Pelodiscus sinensis: one gene and its partners. The protein of the gene in region 1 interacts with the protein of each later gene in a pairwise test. Links are inferred from orthologs where the notes say so. Each region holds a gene or a part of one and is shown on either strand. Other genes may lie near its edges.

Evidence for each region.
Region 2: the proteins of SUFU (region 1) and GLIS3 interact in binary tests that used the Homo sapiens proteins (3 or more experiments, as listed by UniProt). The link is inferred for Pelodiscus sinensis from reciprocal best matches to the Homo sapiens genes SUFU and GLIS3.
Region 3: the proteins of SUFU (region 1) and HDX interact in binary tests that used the Homo sapiens proteins (3 or more experiments, as listed by UniProt). The link is inferred for Pelodiscus sinensis from reciprocal best matches to the Homo sapiens genes SUFU and HDX.

The regions. Positions count from the first base shown.
Region 1 is NC_134718.1:72,981,381-72,989,156, forward strand, and holds the start of SUFU (suppressor of fused homolog), read right to left. Parts: upstream 3,159-7,776; 5' UTR 3,126-3,158; coding exon 2,974-3,125; intron 1-2,973. UniProt on the Homo sapiens protein: Negative regulator in the hedgehog/smoothened signaling pathway. Down-regulates GLI1-mediated transactivation of target genes. Down-regulates GLI2-mediated transactivation of target genes. Part of a corepressor complex that acts on DNA-bound GLI1.
Region 2 is NC_134716.1:29,311,838-29,319,246, reverse strand, and holds the start of GLIS3 (zinc finger protein GLIS3), read right to left. Parts: upstream 3,040-7,409; 5' UTR 2,134-3,039; intron 1-2,133. UniProt on the Homo sapiens protein: Acts both as a repressor and an activator of transcription. Binds to the consensus sequence 5'-GACCACCCAC-3'.
Region 3 is NC_134723.1:15,990,726-15,998,916, forward strand, and holds the start of HDX (highly divergent homeobox), read left to right. Parts: upstream 1-4,977; 5' UTR 4,978-5,201; intron 5,202-8,191.

The DNA of each region.
Region 1 (7,776 bases):
TTTTCTATCAAAGTAAGGAATATAACAATGCTGGTCTATTGCTTGCAATTTTTTGTCATGAAGGAATTTTACTTCAGGAGCTCTTATTAAGAAAGGTGGTTAAATATAATAATCTGAAGATTACAAAGAAGTTTCCACACACATAGACACAGGAGTGCTTCCAAAAGCTCCAAAAGCTTTCTGAATTAATTTCCAAAAATATACAAATGAAACATGTTAAAAGAATACATGTGATACATGAAATATTTTTCATTCTTCAGTTTTTTTCCCCCTCAAAAGGTATGCAGTTTACTTGGTTTTGCTGCATGTTTACATAGATACTTGCCTTGTTTTGCAAGCCAGAGAACCCTTTTAACACTGCAATATCCTGTAAATCACAACTTTTTTTTTTTTAAGAGACTGGTTACGTATAATTAAAAATGGATTAGAGTTGTATTATTATCCCTGAGGGACTGAGCTCTGTTCAGCTATTTCCTCTTTGAATCTAAACTAGTGATACTCTGGAACTCAGTGGTTCAGGAGCCAAATTATCAATCAACATTACCCAAAAGTGCCACAGTACTGTGAACTGTCTCTCATAAATAAATAACATTTATTATAGTACAAGTCACACAACAAAATGACCAAATTTTATCAACTACAATTGGTTAACAACATCGCAAAAGCATTCTGATTGGTTAATAACTTAGGCTGGTTAATAATTAAATCACACAGTGCTTTAATAGCACGTGCACATTAGAGAGCCACTTGCAGCTCACGAGACTCATTCTGACAATCACTGATCTAAACCATTCTAATTGCTTGCAGCCCGGAAGAATGAGGACAGAAGACAACCACACAGGAAAGTGTGAACAACAATGAATTCAGCAAATATTTTACAAATGTTTAAAGACTCTGATAGACTTTATAACACTATGTCAACACTAGACCTGTTGCTAAAATTTCCTCTGGGTAGCAGCTGCAGTATATACTGACTGTGCTAGACATGCTGCCACTGGTATGACCACCAATTAAAATGCACAGGAGGTAACAATGGTGATAAACATTAGAGCTAAGGCCTAAGATCTGACCACAGAAAAACAGTATTATCCCTACCACTAGCGCCTTTTTCAGGATCTAGGACATGAGTGTACATCTCTCAACCGATTAGCACCGTAGGAGATACTCAGAGCTATTTATTCCTAAAATCCAAAGAGGACTTTATCATAATCATTATAGACCCAATTCTACCTTCATATCACACAAATCTTGTCTCATTCCAGTTGACATGGACATAAACTGTTGACAGAAGAGAAAGCACTTGAATGCCTAAAGGCAGACATCTAAATCTCTATTGCTGTAGCGATTTGATCAACCCACTTTGGTACCAAATCTGTGCAGTGTTAGCCTGCACTCAGACAAAATTCAACCATTTACTTTTCAAGCTTCCCTAGATATTTAGCAATTAGGTCTAGATCCCAGATTTGTATTAGCAGCCAACAAACCAGAAGAATCCGCCTTCCTCATCCAAAAAGCACTGGTCTAGATTCTCACAAGAGCAGTGCATCTTTGCAAGGATGCCTGGATTCATCAGTGACCAGCCCAGGAACAACTACTTTTCTACTTCTGCCTAACCAGAAGCAGACCTGATGAAATTAAAGGGAAAACACCAAAGCATGCAGAGCCTTAACTAAAGTTTTCCAAAGCACCAGAAAAGCTTTTGTGGGGTAAAAAAAAAAAAAAAAAAAAAAAACAACCCCTAATCCTGCACTGGCCAGGATACCCCAATGCTGAGTTTCACCCTGCGGACCTCCAGCTATCCACAGAAAACAGACCGGACTGGGCTCTAGTGGCTCCCAAGGAGGGCAGATACAAATAAAGAGCAAGAGTAGATCTGCCAAATTGATTCCGCTCAGAACAATGTACCTGCCCCCACAGGACCCCCCCATCCTTACCCACAGATGGAGTCAACCCTCCCCACTCAGGGAGCCCCTCCCGGTCCAGGCGAATGCCACAGGGAGCCCCACACAAGAGCCCTTAGCCTGCCCCACACAGGGAGCCCCTCCTTAGCCTACCTCACCAGGAAGCCCCCCCACAGGGACCCTCCCTTAGATCGCCTGCCTCACAGGGAGCCCCCCTCAGAGAGACGCCCCTTAGCCCGTCCCCCCAGGGAGCCCCCCCATAGCTCACCCACCACAGGGAGCCCCCCTCAGAGAGATGCCCCTTAGCCCGTCCCCCCAGGGAGCCCCCCCCATAGCTCACCCACCACAGGGAGCCCCCCTCAGAGAGATGCCCCTTAGCCCGTCCCCCCAGGAAGCCCCCCCATAGCTCACCCACCACAGGGAGCCCCCCTCAGAGAGACGCCCCTTAGCCCGTCCCCCCAGGGAGCCCCCCCATAGCTCACCCACCACAGGGAGCCCCCCTCAGAGAGACGCCCCTTAGCCCGTCCCCCCAGGGAGCCCCCCCATAGCTCACCCACCACAGGGAGCCCCCCTCAGAGAGACGCCCCTTAGCCCGTCCCCCCAGGGAGCCCCCCCATAGCTCACCCACCACAGGGAGCCCCCCTCAGAGAGACGCCCCTTAGCCCGTCCCCCCAGGGAGCCCCCCCATAGCTCACCCACCACAGGGAGCCCCCCTCAGAGAGACGCCCCTTAGCCCGTCCCCCCAGGGAGCCCCCCCATAGCTCACCCACCACAGGGAGCCCCCCTCAGAGAGATGCCCCTTAGCCCGTCCCCCCAGGAAGCCCCCCCATAGCTCACCCACCACAGGGAGCCCCCCTCAGAGAGATGCCCCTTAGCCCGTCCCCCCAGGGAGCCCCCCCATAGCTCACCCACCACAGGGAGCCCCCCCTCATCACTCCCCCCCAGGAAGCCCCCCCTCAGCCCACCCCCCATCACTCCCCCCCTGGGAGCCCCCCCTCAGCCCACCCCCCCTCACTCCCCCCCCCGGGAGTCCCCCCCCAGCCCACCCCCCCTCACTCCCCCCCCCGCTCACCAGTACTTGAGGATGGCGGTGACCTGCAGCGGGTTGGGCTGCTCGGGGTAGAGGCGGCGGCACGCGCCGTAGATGCCGTGCAGCCCCGGGGGGAAGAGCGCGGGGAAGGAGCCGGGCCCGGGGGGGGCCCCGCCAGGCCTCGCGCCCTCCATGGGCCCGCGCTCCGGGGGGGGGGGCGCTGTGCGGCTGCGGGGGGGGGAGGGGCGGAAGCGGCCCGCGGGCCCAGGCGGCTGCTCCGGCTCCGCGCGCACCCGGCCCAGGCGGCTCCGTCCGCCGGCGGCTGCCCAGGAGGCGGGCCCGGCTGCCCGCGCCGTGACGGGCGGGCGGCTCCGCCAATCGCGGCGCAGGAGGCGCCCGGCCCGGCGGAGAGGCGCGCGCGCGCCCCCTGGCGGCGGCGGCCTGCGGCTGCAGCAGCCCGCGGAGGAGGGGGAGGGGGCGCTGGGGGAGCCCCGTGGAGAAGTCCCATGCAGAGGAGAACGGGCCCTATAGGGGGGCAGAGGGCAGGGGCGGGAGCTGGGGGGCCTGTAGGGGTGAGCAGAGGAAGGGGGAAGCTATGGGGCAGGGAGAAGGCCCTGTGCTGTTAATAGGGCCCTTGGATGCTTCGTGCAGTCCTGGGCCAGTGGTGGGCAACGTGCAGCCCGCTGGGACCTCACCTGCAGCCCACAGACCCCGTCTGCTCTCCTCCCCCCCCCCCCCCGCGCCAGCACACCGGAGCCCCACACTTCCAACTCCTCCCCCCCCCCCCCGCGCCAGCACACCGGAGCCCCACACTTCCAACTCCTCCCCGTCCCTCCTGCGCTTTCGGAGCACGCGACTCCCCTGATCCGTGCTACACCCCAGCTCCTCCTGCCCCCTCCCAGAGCTGGAATGCCACAAATCAGCTGATTCATAGTGTTCCAGATCTGGAGGGGGGTGGGAGGGGAATAGCAGCCAGCGCCTCCTCCCCCCTGCTGCCTCTGTCTCAGAGGCGGCAGGGGTAGGAGGGAGCTGATCCGCACAGGGAGCTGGCTTTTAAGCCGTTTCCGTGCACTGACTCCCACGGAGCTGCCTGCCCCCCCATGTAAATGTGTAACCACTGAAAATGTCACAATCTAGTCAGCCAAGACACTCAGACCTGCAGAGGAGCTCTCTGTACAGGCTCACTGACAGGGTGGGGCAAAGGGGGCAATTACCCCAGTGCCCGGGGCTCTCAGCCACCTCTGCTACTGCAGAAGTGGCGCTTGGAGCCCCAGGCCTTTTCAATTGCCGCCAGAGCCCTGCATGGCATGTTCCGGGCAGCTCTTAGGGCCGGGGAAAGGGTCCAACGTAGTGCCCTCTGGGGGAGGTGCTGAGAGCTGGCTGCCCTCAGCCCCACCCTTTCCACCTAAGGCCGCACCCCTTTCAGGAGTAAGCAGCCGGCCCCCCTCACCTTTCCCAAGGGCCCAACATGACTGTCAGTTCCTCTGTCTATGTAGCTTCAAAGGCTTGTCTCTTCACTAACAGAAGTTCATTCAACTTCAATACAAAGATATTACCTCACCCCCATTCCGCCCCCCCCCCAACTTTCACATCTCCTGGGACCAACACAGCTGCAGCCTGTGTTCCCTCTAATGTTTTACATGCCTGTGTAGAATGAATGTTGTTACGTGCACCACTATGGAGGTGACATGTGGACGGGGGGGGGGGGGCGCTAAGGGGGTCAGGACTGTGGCAGAGGGGGTGAGCGTTCTAGCTGGGGGTGAAAGGTCTAGGATGGAGCCAGGAATAAGGGATACAGGATGCAGGCTGCCTCAGCATTATAGCAGGGAAAACAGAATTCCCCTCAGCCCTCTCTCACTGCAGCAGCTCAGGGCGAGGTAAAAGGCACCTCTCCTCAGCTGCAAGGGGCCCCTCCCTCTCCTTGGCTACAGTAGCTTCAACACCGCAGGGATGCTTCTTCCCATCTGTGAGGTCCTAAATAGCCTGCTGCACTGCTGCACAACTTACAGGGAACTTAGTCTACAGCAACACTACAAATTACATTTATTAAGATAAATAACTGAGTGGAGATTAGCTTTACTGGGATAAATGGAAAGGTCAGCACAGAAGTGCTCACTGTGTGAATGAGACAGAGTGGATCCAATGACCCAGTGCTTAAACACTCTTCATGCACACTGATTACAATTAACTGAAAGCAGCACTCACAAAAAGGACTCTCATTTTGCACAGATGACTATAACTTTCTGCTCAGTGCCAGCAGCAAACAATCAGAATGTTAATAGGATGGATAAAGAATGAATCAATATTAGTACAGTAGCACCTAAAAGCTAAACTCTGAAATGTTTGTAACTCTGAATAAAATATTATGATTATACTTTCAAAAGTTTACAACTGAACTTTGACTTAATACAGCTCTGAAACTCTACTATATAGAAGAAAAATGCTACTTATGGCCATCTTAATTTAAAGGAAACAAGCCCAGAAATAGTTCCCTTTAGTAGTTTACATTTAACACACTGAACTGTATTGGCTTCTTTTTATTTTGGTCTCTGGCGTGGTCTGAGTGCATACTTCTAGTTCCAAAGGAGGTGGTGTGGTTGGCTGGTCAGTACATATCTCTGAGGTTTTAATCCTGAAGTTCTACTGGATTGAAAATATTAGAATGGCATTACAAAAAGAAAATACACCATCACATGGATTATTCAGTCAGTCACCTCAAAGACCATAGAAGAAATTGATGGGGCTCAAAGAGTGATGGAAAACTGATTAAATATAGTAGTAGAAATGTAGCCGTGTTAGTCCGGTGCAGCTGAAACAAAAAACAGGACTGTGTAGCACTTTAAAGACTAACAAGATGGTTTAATAAGTGATGAGCTTTCGTGGGCCAGACCCACTTCCTCAGATCAATTTTCTTCCACTATTTGATCTGAGGACGTGGGTCTGGCCCACGAAAGCTCATCACTTAATAAACCATCTTGTTAGTCTTTAAAGTGCTACAGCGTCCTGTTTTTTGATTAAATATAGAGAGAGATGAAAAAACTTGGGCTACTTACCAGGGATATGATGGATGAATAATAAATCAAATAATAATAATTATATACAAAAGGGAGATTAACCACTGTCATTTCCTCTCTCTCCTAACAGAGACATACAGAGAAGCACTTAATTTGAAAGACAACAAATTGAAAATTGAAAGATTTCCCCTCCTCCCTCATGAACTATTTATTAATCCATGGAAATTATTACTACAAGGTATCACTGAGGTAGAGTTTAGCAGCATTCCAAGTTAAAGAGCTTCAGGGGTATCCAAGTTAGCTGTTACAGGATAAACTTAAAAAACAACAGATAGTCTGGTAGCACTTTAAAGACTAACAAAACATGTGGATGGTATTATGAGCTTTCCTGGGTGGGCTGTATCCAGGAAAGCTCATGATACCATCTACATGTTTTGTTAGTCTTTAAAGTGCTACCAGACTATTTGTTGTTTTTTAAGTTATTCCAAGGTTAGTCATTAAGATGGGTAATGAAAACATCCATAAACCACATTAGCCTGCAAAACAAGGCTTCACTTGTTTTTTATTTAAATTAGGGATATAGTCACTCATCCTTAGGGGAAAAATTATTAATGACTGATAGGCTTAGTGAGACACTTTCCCACAGAGTGGCTGTGTCTAGACTGGCCAGTTTTTCCGGAAAATCAGCCGTTTTTCCGGAAAAACTTGCCAGCTGTCTACACTGGCCACTTGAATTTCCGCAAAAGCACTGACTTCCTACTGTAAGAAATCAGTGCTTCTTGTGGAAATACTACGCTGCTCCCGTTCAGGCAAAAGTCCCTTTCGCACAAAGCTTTTGCGCAAAAGGGCCAGTGTAGGCAGCTCAGATTTGTTTTCCGCAAAAAAGCCCTGATCGTGAAAATGGCGATCGGGGCTTTTTTGTGGAAAAGCGCGTCTAGATTGGCATGGACGCTTTTCCGCAAAAAGTGCTTTTGTGGAAAAGCGTCCATGCCAATCTAGACACTCTGTTCCAAAAATGCTTTTAACGGAAAACTTTTCTGTTAAAAGCATTTCCGGAAAATCATGCCAGTCTAGACGCAGCCAGTAGGTAATTTCATCATAGTTCATTACAGGCTGTGATTTTTTAAACCTTCCTCTGCAGCAGCTGGTACTAGTCAGTGATAGAGAGAATTTCTGGTTAGATGAATCATTGCTTTGATTTAGTATGGTCATTGCCATATTCTCGTAAAGAAAACCTGCAGAGGAACAAAAATACTGGCTCTGTGCTTCACCAATACACTAACATTTTTTGAGGGTCATCAACAAGCATGTAGCCGCAGGGAGCCGGTGGCTGTAGTGCACTTGGTTTTCCAGAAAGCCTTTGACCAGGTCTTTCTTCAAAGGTTCTTAAGTGACGTAAGCTGTTATGGGAGAAGGAAGGTCATTTCATGGACGGGTAACTGGTTAAAAATAGGAAACGAAAAGTAGGAAAAAATGGTCAGTTTTCAGAATGGAGGGAGGTAACTAGTTGTGTCCTGTATAAGGATGTCAAATCCTAGTTAATTAGTTCACTGGTTAAACGTTAGGGGGAGAGGCTGGGTCTGGAGCTGCTGCTGGCTCCTAGTTCCCAGCCCCTGTCTGTGGCAGGCCTGGGCTCCCCGTAAACAGAGACTGTTCCACGGGAGCAGAGCCTGCCTGTGGGGCACCAGGGACCACCCTGGACAGGAGCTGCTCCAGACAAAAACAGCCCCTTTCTGCAGTGGGCCCTCTGTGCCCACAGCATGCAGGGAGCTGCTCCAGCCACTGGTTACTGGAAACAGCAAGCATTATCCATTTGGGGTGACGTTTACTG
Region 2 (7,409 bases), on another chromosome or scaffold:
GCCTGGAACTGAAATTTCTATTTGTTAAACTTTGCTAAATTGTAATTACCAAGTGACACAAAAAGGCTGAAGATTAAGTTGTCACTTTAGTGAGCATTAAATAGCTGTGTGGTCTGTCTTTGGTGTGAGTGACACTGGTGGCTGCATTTGTACTACAGAAAATGCAGGGCTGTTGTTTTGTTTTGTTTTTCCAGGGGGGGAGATTTTTATCCTCTGGAGAGACACCACAAAGTATCTGCAGGTGGAAGGGACCAAACTTGGCAGAACTAAGGAGAGGTGGGAGAAGATTTGTAAGATTTTAACACTATTTCAGGAGGGCTTTCGGAAAAAAAAGCTCCCACTGAAACTCATCCCTTTATTTTGACCACCTGCAGCCCCTTTCCTAAAATCATTGGCGCAATGGTGTGCCGGGTGGGGCTCCTCACCCCTTGTCTGTGATTTGCAGCTGAAATACCAGCACCAAACCTAGCTGCAGTGAGACCCTTACCCTCTTCCACTCCTCTCTCCTGGAGTGGGAGCACTCCTCAAGCTGGACTCCATTGGAGCTCCCAGCTCACCTGCTTCTCCCATTCCACTGCCCCCTGCTGGAGGAGAAGGGCTCTTCCCTCAGCTTCCCTGGCTGGGTGCCGGGACACTATTCTCAGCTCTCCCCTCCCGAGACTTTCCAAGCAGGGATGCGGCTCCTTAGCACCGCTGGCTGCTGCGCCCGGGAACTAGCTACCAGGGCTCAGCCTTCAACTTGCCTCTGAGGCTGGCGGAAAGGAGGGGAAACGGACTGGACCGCTCAGGTGGATTTCACGCCGCTGCCCACGGCTACGCAGACCCGAGGTGCTGCGAGCCCTCCTCTCCTCTCCGCGCTGCTGTGAATACGGCTGTTCAGGAGAGCAGAGAGAAAAAAAGTCAGCTGCCTAAGGGGAAAGAGGAGACATGTGCCTCGCTGCAGCCAGCCCGGCTTTCAACGAAGCGATTTACTCTACTTTCTGGCTGCAACACACACTCAGGGGACAGCATCCCACGGTCATTTCCTTTGCAAAGTCCTTCATTTCCTCCTCGAGGAATTAAGTCTCGGCTTAATCATCAGCAGGATGACAAATCTCCCGGAGTCAGAGAATACCTGTTCCAACTTTCCAGACATCGCTCTTTCTCCAGCTCAAGAGCAGACAGTGAGTAACTTCGAAGTAACCTCACCACAGGATTTCAAACAAACAAACAAACACACCGTGGAAAGCCTGAGAAAAGAGCTGCAGACTCATGGTTTCCAAAGGCGGCTCGCAGAAAAACACCGGATAATTCACAGGACTGGAGCCGAGAACCAGGATCAAGTCCCGTACAGCGGGAGTGAGACATGTGAACGGTATCTGACACTAGACACGCACAAAATGTAAAAGCATGTGTTTGCTGGAGAGCTGACAAAAACAGAGCGTTGAAGGGTCTTACATATAATTGCTGGGTGTGTGTACATACACCAACTCCAACATTTACACACGCCCGCTCTCTGTATAAAGCAATGAAGCTCTATCACGGCTACACTTAAAATAAACAACAAATAATGAAGACTGAATTGCCTGCATATACGTCCACAGTACTTATGAGACAGCATTCCTCGCGTCATTCATTCACCCCTTTCCTATTCTTCTCTTAAGTCCCCTTAGGTCGAAAGTTTACACTAGTTACTACAGTCGTTGACAAACTACCAAGCTTTTGCGTTGTCCGTAAGATCGCACGAGCCTCACCTCTTGTCAATTAACCCCTCGCCCCTCCTGCAAGTAAATCTCACACCCAGCCGTGGTCAGATTAAAGCACAGCCCCTTTGGTTGTTACACCTTGTCGTTCTATACATACAGCCATGGGCTACATTTCAGAATCCCTGTGGGAAGTTGGACTCTGTTCCCCGCTCAGCTGATCAAGTAAAGCGCACTCTACCTTCCCCCTCTTAAATACATTTCCCCCGAAGCAGGGGAGGGGGAGAGTGTGTATACAAAACAGTTTAGACTCCACAGGATTGCTGCTGCTGCTGCCGCCGTGGTGTTTTGGCTAACGTGAGGCTCTTTAGCTTGGTTTGATGGTTAGATCAGCTTTTACTTTTGTGTGCGTGCGCCTGCAAGCAAAGTTCCTATGGCAGCATCCACTTACCAGGTAACCAGGTTTTCCACAACAAAGCCCAAGGTGCATATTCCTTCTCCAGGCAGAGCCCCTCTCTCCTCTAGGCAAGAATGACAGCCAGCACTTGCAAGGAGAGAGCTGAAGAAAGAAAAGCAACTCTGGTTCCCTTCAAACACACTTGAGAGAGGCTGTCCTCCACTTGAGCAGGAACAGTTTCCATCAGGGCTCGGGAAGAGACATGCCAAGCGAGGGCTGGGGAGAGGAGCTTTCTCTTTTCTCTTGGGAAATCTGGGTTGACCAAACTCGAGGGCTCGCCTCTCACTGCCGTGTCCCGCAGTCAGTGCCCGTAGGAGAGGCTGAGGAAGATGAAGTTGACTTGTTTGGCGACCTTGCTAGCTCACTGCTGTCATATTGTTCCTGGGAGGAGGGAAGTGTTGTCTCTCCAGACTTGTTTGGGGAGGAGGGGGGTCCAGGCTGCTGCCAGCGCAGGAATTGGGCTGCCCGTGCTCTCCGCTGGTTGTATCAGTGCTGTGTGGACAGAGGGACTGCAGTGCAGGGAAGGAGGCGGGGGAGGGGGGGTGAATGCTTAAGGGCCGCCAGCCAGCAGTCTCCCGAGTGCCAGAGCCGAGGGAGGGAGGGGGCAAAGGGGCGGGTAACTCCTGGTCAGCCAGTTGGCTAATTCAAAGGCAGAGTGTCTCTCTCCCCCTCAGCACTCACTCTGACTCACACACAGAGAGGGAGGTTGGGAAAGAGAAACTAGGCGACTGACAGGCTGGTGACACTTCCCTGCCTTCCTGGGCATTCTTCATAGTTGTACTTGATTTGGTGTGAATAAGGCTGGATCAGTTTCCATAGAATCTGCCTGTGCCGCTTCCTGATTCTGGAAACACAGAGAGACCATCGAAAGCCCAGTACATCCCACCGAAAGGGCCAGATTAATACCCTGGCTGGATTTCAGACCACCCTGCCCCAAAGAGTTTAGGGGTATTTGCCCAGGATTATGGTTCAATCCATTAAAAATCTAAATCCAGCTGTAAAATTAGATTCTGGTTCAGATTCTCAATGGAACCAAGGTACTGGATCAAATCCTCTTCCTATTATACTGCATACCCACAATTACACAGTATTTGATTCACCCTAGGGTTAGCCAATGGAACCAGGAGGCTGGTACTGTGCAAGGCAAATCAGGCAAGCACAGTTTAGGAAGTGGATGAAACACACCTGGGAGAGGTGTTGTAACAGTCTGTATTAGGACCTGCCTATGTCAGGATAAGAGGCATACTAACACATCAGCATGAATACCGCTGCTAACACCTGTTAAATTTGTCTGATCTTTGTCTGCTAGCTAATTTTTTTTAAAAATGGTCTTTATTCCAGTATGGGTCATTCCTTAGAGAAGCATAAAATCAGCTTGCTGGGAGTTTGGGAGCAGTACATCAGAGCAGAACCATCATGTATTCTCAGTGATGGGATCTGCTGTAAATTGAATCCCCAGGAAAGAGTAGCTGTGGTGTTGTGTATGCAGCTGCCTCCGCAGACAGTGGAGGTTGTAAATTCTGCACCTACAGGGATGAATGAAGCCCACTAATGTGCAAAGAACTGTAAAGCCATGTGATAATTTGCAATGTGCCTGTGACCTCTTCCTATGCACTATGCCCACTAAATTTATCACCAGCAGCACATTGCCCACTGCTCCATCAGGGATACTTCTAACATTCCAAACTTCTGTCTTTAGAACAGAAGTTTTAAGAAAAACAATGTAGCCACTGGAGTTAGTGAATAAGGATATCACCTGATGAGGATATTACCTGTTTATAACTTTGATGCAAGTGAGACTAGGAAAGAAAGTTCAGTCTCTTTTGCCAGCACTCCTGAATCTAGCCCCCTTTTCCATCTTTTAATAACTATGGAAGAGTCCTTTAGCAACTCCCACCGGCTGTGACTATATGAGGGGAGACTGACTCTCCTGATAACCAAGAATAGTTGTGCACAGAAAGGTCAAGTTCACTTCCCTTTGGGTTACTCTGCCACTCATTCTCTTAGGAGATGGAATTGGGGTGGGTGATGTTAACACACATTAGTATCTGGATAGTCTTTCATCTGAAATAATTAATTTACACTGAGTCAGTGTCTGTCTTCTTCTGGGGCTTGCCCCACAGGAAGTCATGCATACTTTTTACTGCAAGTGTCTCGAGTGCAGTCCATACAAGTAGTAGCACACATCACCTTATATTATCACTGGAGTACTGATATTTAAACCTCCTCTATTTACAGACTTTTGGTCAATTCTGTTAGATTTTCATGACTGGTCTCACAATATTTTTTACTCTTCACCGACACCCAGGAAAGGACTATTACATATAGAGAGTATTATATGGCAATGTGAAAAATAAGGTTTAAAAAATGAAAAATACCATTTTTTCTTCTGACATTTTACCTATCACAGAGGTGAGTTGTCTGAGCAGGGAAGGGTAAAGCACACCTCCAGGGATGGAACACACCTGCATGTTGGAACTCAGCTCCTTGGATCACATAATAACAGAACTTCTGTTTCTGTTGAAATTAAAAAAAAATCCTCATGATTGTGAAGAAAATGTGACTATTGTGTAACCAATGTAATCCTGTTTAAGTATGCTGAGAGCATGAAACAGTAATTCGGAGAGAAGTGAATTACCCCATATTATCTCAGTGACTGTTATCAAGATCCAGTCCTCTAGAAGCACTGCCTACACTACCCAAACACAGAATGTTGTAGGTAACAGAAGACTACAAGCAGGCCCAGCTCACTGACTTAAGCAAGTATGCCCCCAACTGCTGTTGCCCCTGCCCCTCTGAATGGCAAAGAGCTGCCCTGTTCCTCACCTGGTTGCTCCTGGAAGGGGAAGCAGCAGGTATTTGCCCCTGTCTGTCTGGGAGGGAGGAGAGATCATTGCAAATGTGAGGCAGAGTCTTAGCATAAGAAGAGGTCCCCAATAGAAGCTCCATCCTTATTTCATGCTGTGCGTAGGACACAGTTTCCTTCATCCAGTCTTGAGCCTATGGCTAGTGAGTCCTCATTAGAGCCAACTCTCTTTTGCTATTAGCCTGGCCTCATTTTACTTCTGTATATTAAAGGAAGTCTGGAAATATACAAAAGGAGGATGTACTTTTCCATGCTATTTTCTTTAAAGTTTCCTTGGTGTATGCAAATAACTCAAGATATTAATGCATCAATAGTTCCCATACATTTACATTGTTATCCAGTCTATTTATTGCTATGTGTATGGATGTTTCAGCAGTGAATGGATTAAATCTATGAGTAGCCACGATGTAGTATATTTGTGGTTTTATGCAGAAAGTATTTGTAAGATATGCTTCACTTCAAAACCACATTAAAATCACAAACAATTCAAGGAACATTTATAGCTTATGTAAGGAGAACTTACTTGTTGGCCTTAAAAAACAAAACAAAACAAAACAAAACAAAAAAAAACACTTTCACAGTAATCTACTGTGTTGACTATATTTTTATTGATACCATATGCCAGAATTTTCCATTAAGTTATATTATTAGATTCCATCACTAAGAATTAATGAGATCTTCTCCTGCATTTACATTAGAGCCAGTGCAAATGTGTTTATTATAGATTTATACAATGAACTAACTTTTATTAATAAGGATATTTGCCAGATAAGGTCTGAGCACTGTACATTTATGACTTAAATCTACAAAAGCAATAGAACAAACATTCTGAGCAATAAGGTGTATGGTGTAAAACCTCAGTGACAGAGCATCAGCTTAAAAAACACTGACAACTGTCAAGAACTAAATCTGACTTCCCTGAAAAGCTGTCTGTTTTAGTGTCTCCATGTAATGAAAATAAAGCATCACTGTTTTAAACCAATGATTCAACAGGCCCCAATTTTCAGAGATGCTGACATGAAGCCTATTAGCTCTACTGTAAGTGGGTTTTCAAACACTATGATTTACTACTTGCACTATGGTAGCACACAAATGCATAATCAAGGATTGAGGCCTCATTGTGATACACACGGTATAAAGACATACGAAGAGATGGTGCCTGCCCCAAAGAGACTGCGATCTTATTTGAAGCAAGATGGAATGTGTTACTATTCCACATCACATCCAAAGTTTGGCCTAAATTTCCTATATATTATGCAAGCCATTTAAATTAGTTAAAAATTACCAGATTAGACATGTTAGCACATCGACAGGTAAACATATCGGCTACGTCTACACTGGCATGATTTTCCGGAAATGCTTTTAACGGAAAAGTTTTCCGTTAAAAGCATTTTCGGAAAAGCGCGTCTAGATTGGCAGGACGCTTTTCTGGAAAAGCACTTTTTCCAGAAAAGCATCCGTGGCCAATCTAGACGTGCTTTTCCGCAAAAAAGCCCCGATCATCATTTTCGCGATCGGGGCTATTTTGCGGAAAACACTACTGTGCTGTCTACACTGGCCCTTTTCTGGAACAGTTTTCCGGAAAAAGACTTTTGCCCGAACGGGAGCAGCATAGTTTTTCCGTAAAAGCACTGATGATTTTACATTAGATCGTCAGTGCTTTTCCGGAAATTCAAGCGGCCAGTGTAGACAGCTGGCAAGTTTTTCTGGAAAAGCGGCTGATTTTCCGGAATAAATTGCCAGTGTAGACACAGCCATCCAGAATGCTTTGCTGAACAGCCAACCATATAGTCAGTCAGGCCCAGTTTAATGCCAATACATAGTGTATGTGACATTACTATAGGAGAAGCCATGCTATTTGAATAATTAAGTTTATTAGATATTACACACGCTTATTGGGAGCCTAAGATGGCTTAATGGAGCTTTTCAGAAAATTAAGCTCTTGTCTAGCAAATCAGATCTATTTTCTCCAAAGCATCATTTTTTCTCCCTTGTTGAGAACACATCTAATAAGACTGCTTTAATGGAAATGAAAATAGAATCTATTATACATCCATGACCTCATTTAGTTGCCTCACTAAGACAGAATCATGCTGTGTGGCTGTTGAAAATTAGATCTTCAAGCTTTAGGGCCTGGTCATGCTCTCAAGTTATGACTTTTAGATCCAGAAAAATCTTTGTGTTAGGTGCCTCATGCTGGAAATTATAATTAGATGCTGTCACTGGGTGCATTGACCCTTTAAATTGGTCTCTAGTCCACAGCTGGTCAAAAAAAATAATACCATTTTCCACAAAACTTTCACAAAAATCTGTCCCTTCTGTTGTTGAAAATGTTTGGAATTAGAGATGTTTTGACCAGCTCTACTCCAGTCTCATATTTCCCTGACCTTGACAGCAAAAATTC
Region 3 (8,191 bases), on another chromosome or scaffold:
TTTGCCTGTGTAACACATACAGAATTGAACTCACTTTCAGATTCAGCTTTTCCCTTTTTGTATATATTTTAAATATTCTTAAAATGTATTTTAAGATTGTTTAATAGATAATTACAGCTTGCACAAAACTGGAATATTTTTCTCTCATACATCATATCTGAGTACTTAAAACTTTCATTCACTAAAAAGGAATTCTGAATGTGTATGATCTGCCTTTGTATAGTGTATTTAAAATTTGTAATAATGTGCAAAGTGTTAACCCTGAACAGTGACATCTACATTTATATAAATCAAAACGGCGTTTGTGAACTGACACACAATTCAAGATGGAAACCTGGGAGGCTCTTGCTGCCAAAATCACTATCTGCACTCGGCACATGGCTGTGCATGCTGCGCCATGATGCTGCACACAGCACGAAAGTCTGCACCCGGTTCTAGTCTTGCACACAACACCACGCCCTGCTTTGCACTGAGAACCATTGGAATTTTCCCGTCTTGAACTCTATAAAATCTAGAATCCTGAGAAGATCAGGTTGGCAGTTTTCTCACACCACCTTGGAGAAGAAGGAGTCGTGTCACAGAGGAGACCCAGTCTAACCTACCTGATTCTACTCCTGCCGCCCTCAGGGTGCTTCAGTCCACACTGTGGCGATAGCCCAGCATCATGAGCCTTAGCTACCTGATACCCGACCCTACATCATCAGGACCGAATGGAGCCTCCGGCATCAGCTGTGGAAAAGGCCCTCACGGTGTTTAGAATTGCTCTTCGGTTATCTTTCACAAACTGCATGTCTGTCCACTGTGCAAGCAGAGGCTAACATCACATCGAGCGTCTCCCTACTTAATGAAGGACGCCTCAGTGCTCCTCCCCTGACAGCTACCTTAGCTAAAAAAAAGGGTTGAAGGTCCTGAACATCAGCAGCCTTTGATGGTCAAGTATAACATTCTGTTGCTAGTTATATCGTTCCTATCCTTTTTATTTTCAGAGGGTGAGGGGCTGGGTTATTGATTCAGCGTTGTGTTATTGTTATTGGATCAATGCCCACAAAACAGATATCAGACAGGATCACAAAGAAAAAACAGTTTCTTGCCATTTCAACCAAAAAGGACATTGTCTCAACGACTTGATTACCTGCATCCTGCTTTAAAGACCTTTTAAAACTTCACTTAGAAGAGAATCCTCTGAACTGTCATTCATGCTTAAATTCAACACTTTACATTCAAATTTGAAGACACTAATTATCTTACCCATTACAAAGATAGCTTCCCCAATTATCACCTCTAATATCATTAGCTCACAGACATTTACTTCCCCCCCTTCCTCCCCTCCATCCTCCTTCTGTTCTGAAATTTGATTTGTCCTTTTCCTATGTGTTCATTTTTTTTATTTGTATCCTTTGGTATATATGGTTGTGACAATTTTCTTCCACTATTTGATCTGAGGAAGTGGGTCTGGCCCACGAAAGCTCATCACCTATTAAACCATCTTGTTAGTCTTTAAAGTGATACACAGTCCTGTGTTATTGTTACTTATTTGTTGTATATCAATATACCTTTTTGACATTTTAAAATCTGACACGTGTCCTCGGTTATTTTACGGGACTGAGGGAGAATCCGCCGGTGACAGATATGGTGGCTTCCAGGCCAGACCTCCTTCTGGGGAGGAGGCACTTTAATGGGGCACTTTAACATCAGATCAGAGCAGGCCCCATTAAAATTTCACTTATCAGTGCACCTTTGCTGGTAACAAAAGCTTGCATCTTACAATATTGAAGCACTTTACTGAATCCTTATTCCAACTGCCCTTCATATAAGATGTGCTTTCTTTGGCCCCATTACTGCAAAATGTTATGCCAAAGTACTCCAATTAAAGTTAATAGTACTACTCATGCGCATAAAGTGAAGTCCCCACATAAATCTTTTTAGGATAAGAGTCTCTGAATGTTAGGCGTGGAGGTAGGGAGCCTGTACGTGTCTGAATTTACACAAGCCCCTAATTCTGATTGGTGCCACTTTGATATAAACAGCAAATAACAATTTTCATGACATTCAGTGATTCCAAAGATATTTCCTTAGCACCAATCTCGCCAACAGAAGAGCTGGTATGATGTCTCATGCCTGCACATGGCCTTACTGGCTGTAGTGTGTTCCTTTCATTTCAATGGAACTTAGAGGAAGATGAGTGCCTTAAGGTATGTCTACACTACCCACCCTAGTTCGAACTAGGGTGGCAGTGTAGACATACCCATGGGCTATGTCTACACTCCTGGCTTCTTGTGCAAGTAATATACAAATGAGGCTAAGCGTGGAATATCGCCGAGCCCCATTTGCATACCTAATGAGCCACCATTTTTTTCAGAAGAGGCTCTTGCGCAAGAAGGAGCGTCTACACTGCCCCTTCTTGTGCAAGAAAAACCCTCTTGCGCAATGCTGTTCTTCTTGAAAAGTAATAGGTGTAACGGCAATATTACTTGTGCAAGAAGCCGCGAGTGTAGACATAGCCTTAGTGTCCTCAATGCTCAGGACTTCCCTTCTAAGCAATGAATAGCTGACGCTAGTGCGCCAGCCCCATGGGTGGGAGTGGAAGGGGGTACACAAAATCTACTAGGCCTTCCCCACAGGCTCTGGTGTGCAAGGGGGAATGTGAGGAGTGTCTTTCTCCTTCTCAGTCAGGAATCACAGCAATGACTGAGTGGGATGTTTTGTTTCTCACTTGTCTGTGACCCCCAACTGATTTTTCTGTGAGTCAGCAAGCCCCCACCCCTGGTTTACATAAATACAGCCACTTCAGGGATGGTGAAACAACACTTTCAACAACAGTTGGAACCAGGAAAACCAGGGTGGCTGAAAACAAAGAAACACCAAAGTTGTAAGAGAAGCCCCACAAGTCCTTTGATGCCCATATAAAGCAGATACGCCATTGATGTTGAGTCTCAACTGAAAAATACAAATTATTCCAGACTTGTCTCTCACAAGCAGAGAAAGGGGTCAAATACCCCTACTGCATGGGTGGGCAATAAAATGGCAGCAGTTCCCCCAGGGTTAGCCCTGGTGGGCCACTGTCACTATATTACCTGTGCCTCTGCAGGTACGGATGATTGCAGCTCTCATTGGCCTTGGACCACCATTCCCGGCCAATGGGAGTAGCGGAAAGTGGCACACACTGGGACACTGCTTCTCTCTAGGGATGTTAGCTATTGATTGATTGGCTAGTGGACTAACTGCATGAATTCTGCAGTTTGTTGACTATAGTCCCCAGGGGCGGGGCCGACAGCAAAGGCAATCCAGCCCCACTACTGGGGATCCCGCCAAGCAGGGTGCCAGACGGGAGATAGTCCGCGAGGGGATCCGGTTTAAAAATCAGCTCCCCTCGCAGACTGCTGCCCCAGGCTGCTGACTCTGATACCCAGAACAGCCTCTGTCCACACAGGGCCGGCCCGAACCCTTTTGGTGCCCTGGGCCCGGGCGCATGGCGCTGTCCCCGGGCGCATGCATAGGCCTGCCCATGGGGTGGGGGCCCGCCCTCCCAGGGCGCGCGGGCCCATACCCCGGGGTGCATGGTGCATGCGCGCGCTGACCAAGGCCGCTGACGCTCAGCCCCCGGGGCACTCGGCACATGTGCAGGCCGGTCACGGACCAGCCAGCACTGCTGGCACACACACGCCAGGCCGTGAAGGGCCCTGCAGCTGTGGGGGGAAGGGCGCAGCTGGCGAGCACCACGGGGCCAGCGCTGTGGGAGCTGGGCGCACGGCTCCTAATGGCAGCTGTAAGGCCCTTACAGCTGCCAGCAGGCATCCCTCATCGGTTGGCACCCTGGGCAGCTGCCTGGCTCGCCCTGTGTCCGCAGCTGGCACTGCTGTGACAAGAGTTTGCTTTGCTGCAGCTTCCACTGCTCCCCCCACGCTGGGTGGGCTGGGGGGCAGTGCAGCACTGTGTCACTGATGCTAGGGGGAACCGGCTTTGAAGTTGGCTCCCCCGCCCTCCCTGCTGAGGCAGCAACTGGGGGTGGGGAGAATGGGAGTAGTTGACTAGATTGATAAGCCTAGGCTTATTGGTTAATCAACTAGTCAACTACTCCTTCACATTCCTACTTCCAACTGCTCCCATTGGCTGAAAATGGTGATCCGCAGCCACTAAGAACTACAATCGCCTGTATCTGCAATGATGGAGGCAAATATAATGGTGGTGGCGGACCAGGGGCTAACTCTGGGGAACCATGTGGGTTTTGCCCACCCTTGGCCTGTGGAAGATAAGGTGACAGGGAAAGCCAAGTATTTCAGATCCCTGCTCCCCACCTATTATGGGGAACTCGCAGCCCCGAAGAGCCTGCATGCCATAGCTGCCCTGAGCACAGGCTGAGGAGGGCTAACAAGGGAGACACCACTGGCACTGCCAGGCTCCTGTTCCAAGCCCCCAGGGCTAACGACTCTGCTTAGGCGGCAGGTCCCGTGCACCCCCGGAGGCCCGGCCCCGCTCATGGGCAGGGATTTCCCTACACCCCTCCCCATGGGGCTCTACACCCCCATGAATTGCCCCAGCACCCCCCAGTTCTGTGAACTATGGTGCCATAGCCCAGCTTCGCCCTCACGGCCTCCCCCTCATTGGCCCTGCACCCCCCCCCCATTTCAATTCCTGGGGAGGCTCCTGCCAGGGGTGAGGCTTAGCCCCTGCCCGCCCGGCGGAGCGGCTCCCGGCCTGGGAAGGAGCGAAGGCGCCGCGGACGCAGGCAGGCACTGCCCGCCCTCCCACCCGCAGGTGCGCAGCTAGGCCGCGGGGCTGGTGCGGGGCACAGAGCGGCCCCCGTGCGCTGGGGAGGAGGCAGACTGCTCCATGCCTCCCTTCCACGCCCCGCCTCTTCCCGGCCTCGCGCTCCCATCCCGAGTCGGGTGGAGCTGTTCCCTGAAGGCGGTGCTCCCCCTCCCCTCCGCGCAGCTGTTCCCTGTACATTCTCCCCTCCCTCCTCAGGCGGGCTGTTCCCTGTACCAAACACTCCCCCTGGGCCGGAGGGGCGGGGGCAAGGACTGTCCCGGCCGGCGCTGATCTTAGGCTCCCATTGGCCGCTGTCTGTGCTGACGTCACGATCATGATGAGAATTAATGATCGGAGGCGCTGATTTCATTGTGTGACGCCGGGACCGACCCAGCTGAAACCGGCTGAATCCGGAGCCCCCCGGACCAACTCCGCCCGCCCCACAGAGCACGGTAAGTCCGGCGCTGTGCGCGGGGGGCGGGGTATGTATGTGAGTCACGAAAGAGGGAGCGAGAACAAACGCCGAGGCGCTCAGGCACGGCAGCCCGGCCTGGCTAGGGAAGATGCCCCTTGGCTGGGGGCCTACATGTGGGGGAGGGCGGCCGCTTGGGCTGGTGCTCGCCTAGCAAACTCAGGCACGCATGCGCCCTACGATTCGGCTGTTCTGCTGCGGCAGACGTTGGCTGGACCCGTCTGCCGTTGAGAAGGAAGTACGCATGCGCACGACCTATGCGTGCTCGTATGGGCTAATAGTTGGCGCATGCTCCGAGGCTGTGGGACAGGTTGCGCTCGGCTGTACTGACTGCGCATGCGTATTTTCAGTCCGTTTGAGTGATTTCTGACTTCTCCCAGTCGTAGAGCGTGGCGTTGATTGATGCTCCGGGCACGCGCACGTTACTTTGTGCCCTGGCTGGGCCATGGGCGCTTGCACAACGCGGGTGGCCAAACTATTGGAAAATTTTGCGCGTGCGCAGTGAGGCCTGGGCTACTCGTGAGAGCTGTTGGGCTCTGTTTTCTAGCTGCAGTCGCCTAGTGTCGGAGCAGCGCACGTGGGCAGGGGTTGGGAGCGTCTATTCTGGATCCCCTTTCCTGGCTCTGCTGTATAAACAGTCACTGCTGGTAGCACGTGGGAACCTAGGCAGTGGGTGAAACTGTGTACAAGGTCCGTGGGGCCATTCAGTGGGAGTAATGGGGGTGGGGCTCGAAGCTCGTTCTTGTTTCCAGGGCGAGGACGGGGGTTGAGGAGGGCGCAGTGTGCTCACTTGCGGGGTAAGAGAGAAGGCAGGAAGTTGGGCAGATAACAATGCTGTGACATTTTAGCCCTTGCGTGTCTGCTGTTGAAGAGATATGGTGGGTGACATGCAAGTCTCCTGGCCTGTGACTTGGGGTGGTGCTCCGTGCCTGTGGTGGCTTAGGAGCCTCACTATGTCATGGATAGAACACAAATAGCAATAAAGATAATTGCTTTATGCTGCCTTTCAGAAGCCAAAGACATATCGTGTTTAATGAGGCTCTTGATGGTGTAATGTGTTAAGAATATGCACAATCTACTTGTGCTGGTAAAATTCTCTGTAAATGAGCTGACCAATTCTGAGTACTGCATTTGATTCAGTAGGTGTACCCATGTGAAAAGTTATAGATCTACTCTGATTGTTGCAAGATGAAGGCCTAAATAAATACGTTTTGTCAGGAAAGGTTTACTTAAAAATATTTTGACTTACCTATTTTTAACAACACTTTGTTGCAGAAGCTAAATGTCAATCAATATTCTTTAGTGCTTCCAATGAAGATCCTGTTTTGTGGTTTTTAGCAGTTAGTTGCTGATGGAACACCCTCAGAGTCTTAAAATATTTACAGCTCTAGATTTCCATATGTTCCTTTCTATTATTTGCAAGAATTGCTAATTCTGCTGGTTCTTAGTTTATTGTATCAATTGCCCCTTTTCTTTTCACACAAATACCACTGTCTTGTGTAGTAAGTAAAGTAAGAATGGCCATATTAGATCAGACCAATGGCCCATCTTGCTCAATATCCTGACTTCGAACATGGGCCATTACAGGGTGTTGCAGAAGGAATGAACTGGAACAGGCCATTATCAAGTGACTCATCCCTTGTCACATACAGGCCCGTACGTGTGTGTGCAAGGTGCGAATGCATGCCCCCCCCATGATCACCCAATTAAGTCTGAGGGGCATTCTGCAGCTTGAGCTCAGTCTCCTTCTTCCCCCCCAAAGCAGAGAGCCTGTGCTGGCACTCCAGCCTTCCCCCCCCTCCTCTGCCCTTCCCCCCCAGGTTGAATTGCTAGTGTCAGCTTTCCACTGGGGATGGGAAGAGGTGGAGAGAAAGCCTTGCTGTGTGATTCAGCTCATGGGGAAGAAACCCTCTCCCTCCCCCAGCTGGGGGGAACAGTAGTACACCTATGTGCTGCCTGGAGGCTTTTCCTATTGCTCCCATTGGCCGGAATCCGACCAATGGGAGCAGCAGGAGGCCATGTCTGGGACTGGTGTGGCATGTGAAGGCAAGTAAGTGGCCTCCACCCCCCTCATGCCAAGACTCCCACACCTGCAGCCCACTCATATGCCCCCACCTCCTGCTGAGACCCATCCCCAGCCTACTCCTGCACCCTGGCTGGATATCCCACCCCAACCTACTCCTGCACTCTCCCCTGCTCCTGGCCAGACACCCTATCCCCAGCCTACTCCTGCACCCCACCACTCCCTGTCGCTCCTGCACCCTCTCTCCTGGCCATACACTGCACCTTCCCTTGCTCTTGTCTCCTGCCCTTACCCAGACACCTTACTCCCAGCCTGCTCTGGCACCCTATCTCCCATCCAAACTTTGCACCCTCATCTATTCCTGCACCCCATCTCCTGCCAAAACCTTGTACCTTCAACACCACCTACACCCAACCTTCTGCCCAGATCCTGCATCCCCATTCCTGTGGTAGAGATGTAATAGTATAATTGATTAACCAATAAGAAAAAGCCTATTGGTTAATGCTATAGACTACATGCATTTCTCCCCCCCCCCCCCCCCCGCCCCCCAAGTATATTTTTCAGCACCTGGCTAGCAGCTCAGCTCAGTCCCTGTTTGCGCTGGGTCAAGGACCTACCCCCCCATTGTGGCTCTGCATTTAAAGTGTGTTAGGAGCCAGGCAGCCCAGCTGACACTGGATCCGGAAGCTCAACCTCCCCCCATTTCACCCCGGTCAGAGGTTACTGTCACCCCACGCTGCTGTCTCTGTATCAGAAGCAACAGCGTGGAGTGACAGGCAGCCGATCCGTGAGGGGCACTGTTTTTTAAACTGACTCTCCTCGCAGACAAGCTCTCACCTGGCATCCCACGCTGCTGCCTCTGATACAGAGGCAGCATCCTGGAGTGGCAGGAGCCTCCTCTGGAGTGGGGCCAGAGCAAACTGGCTGCTGGCCTCACCCCCGGGCCT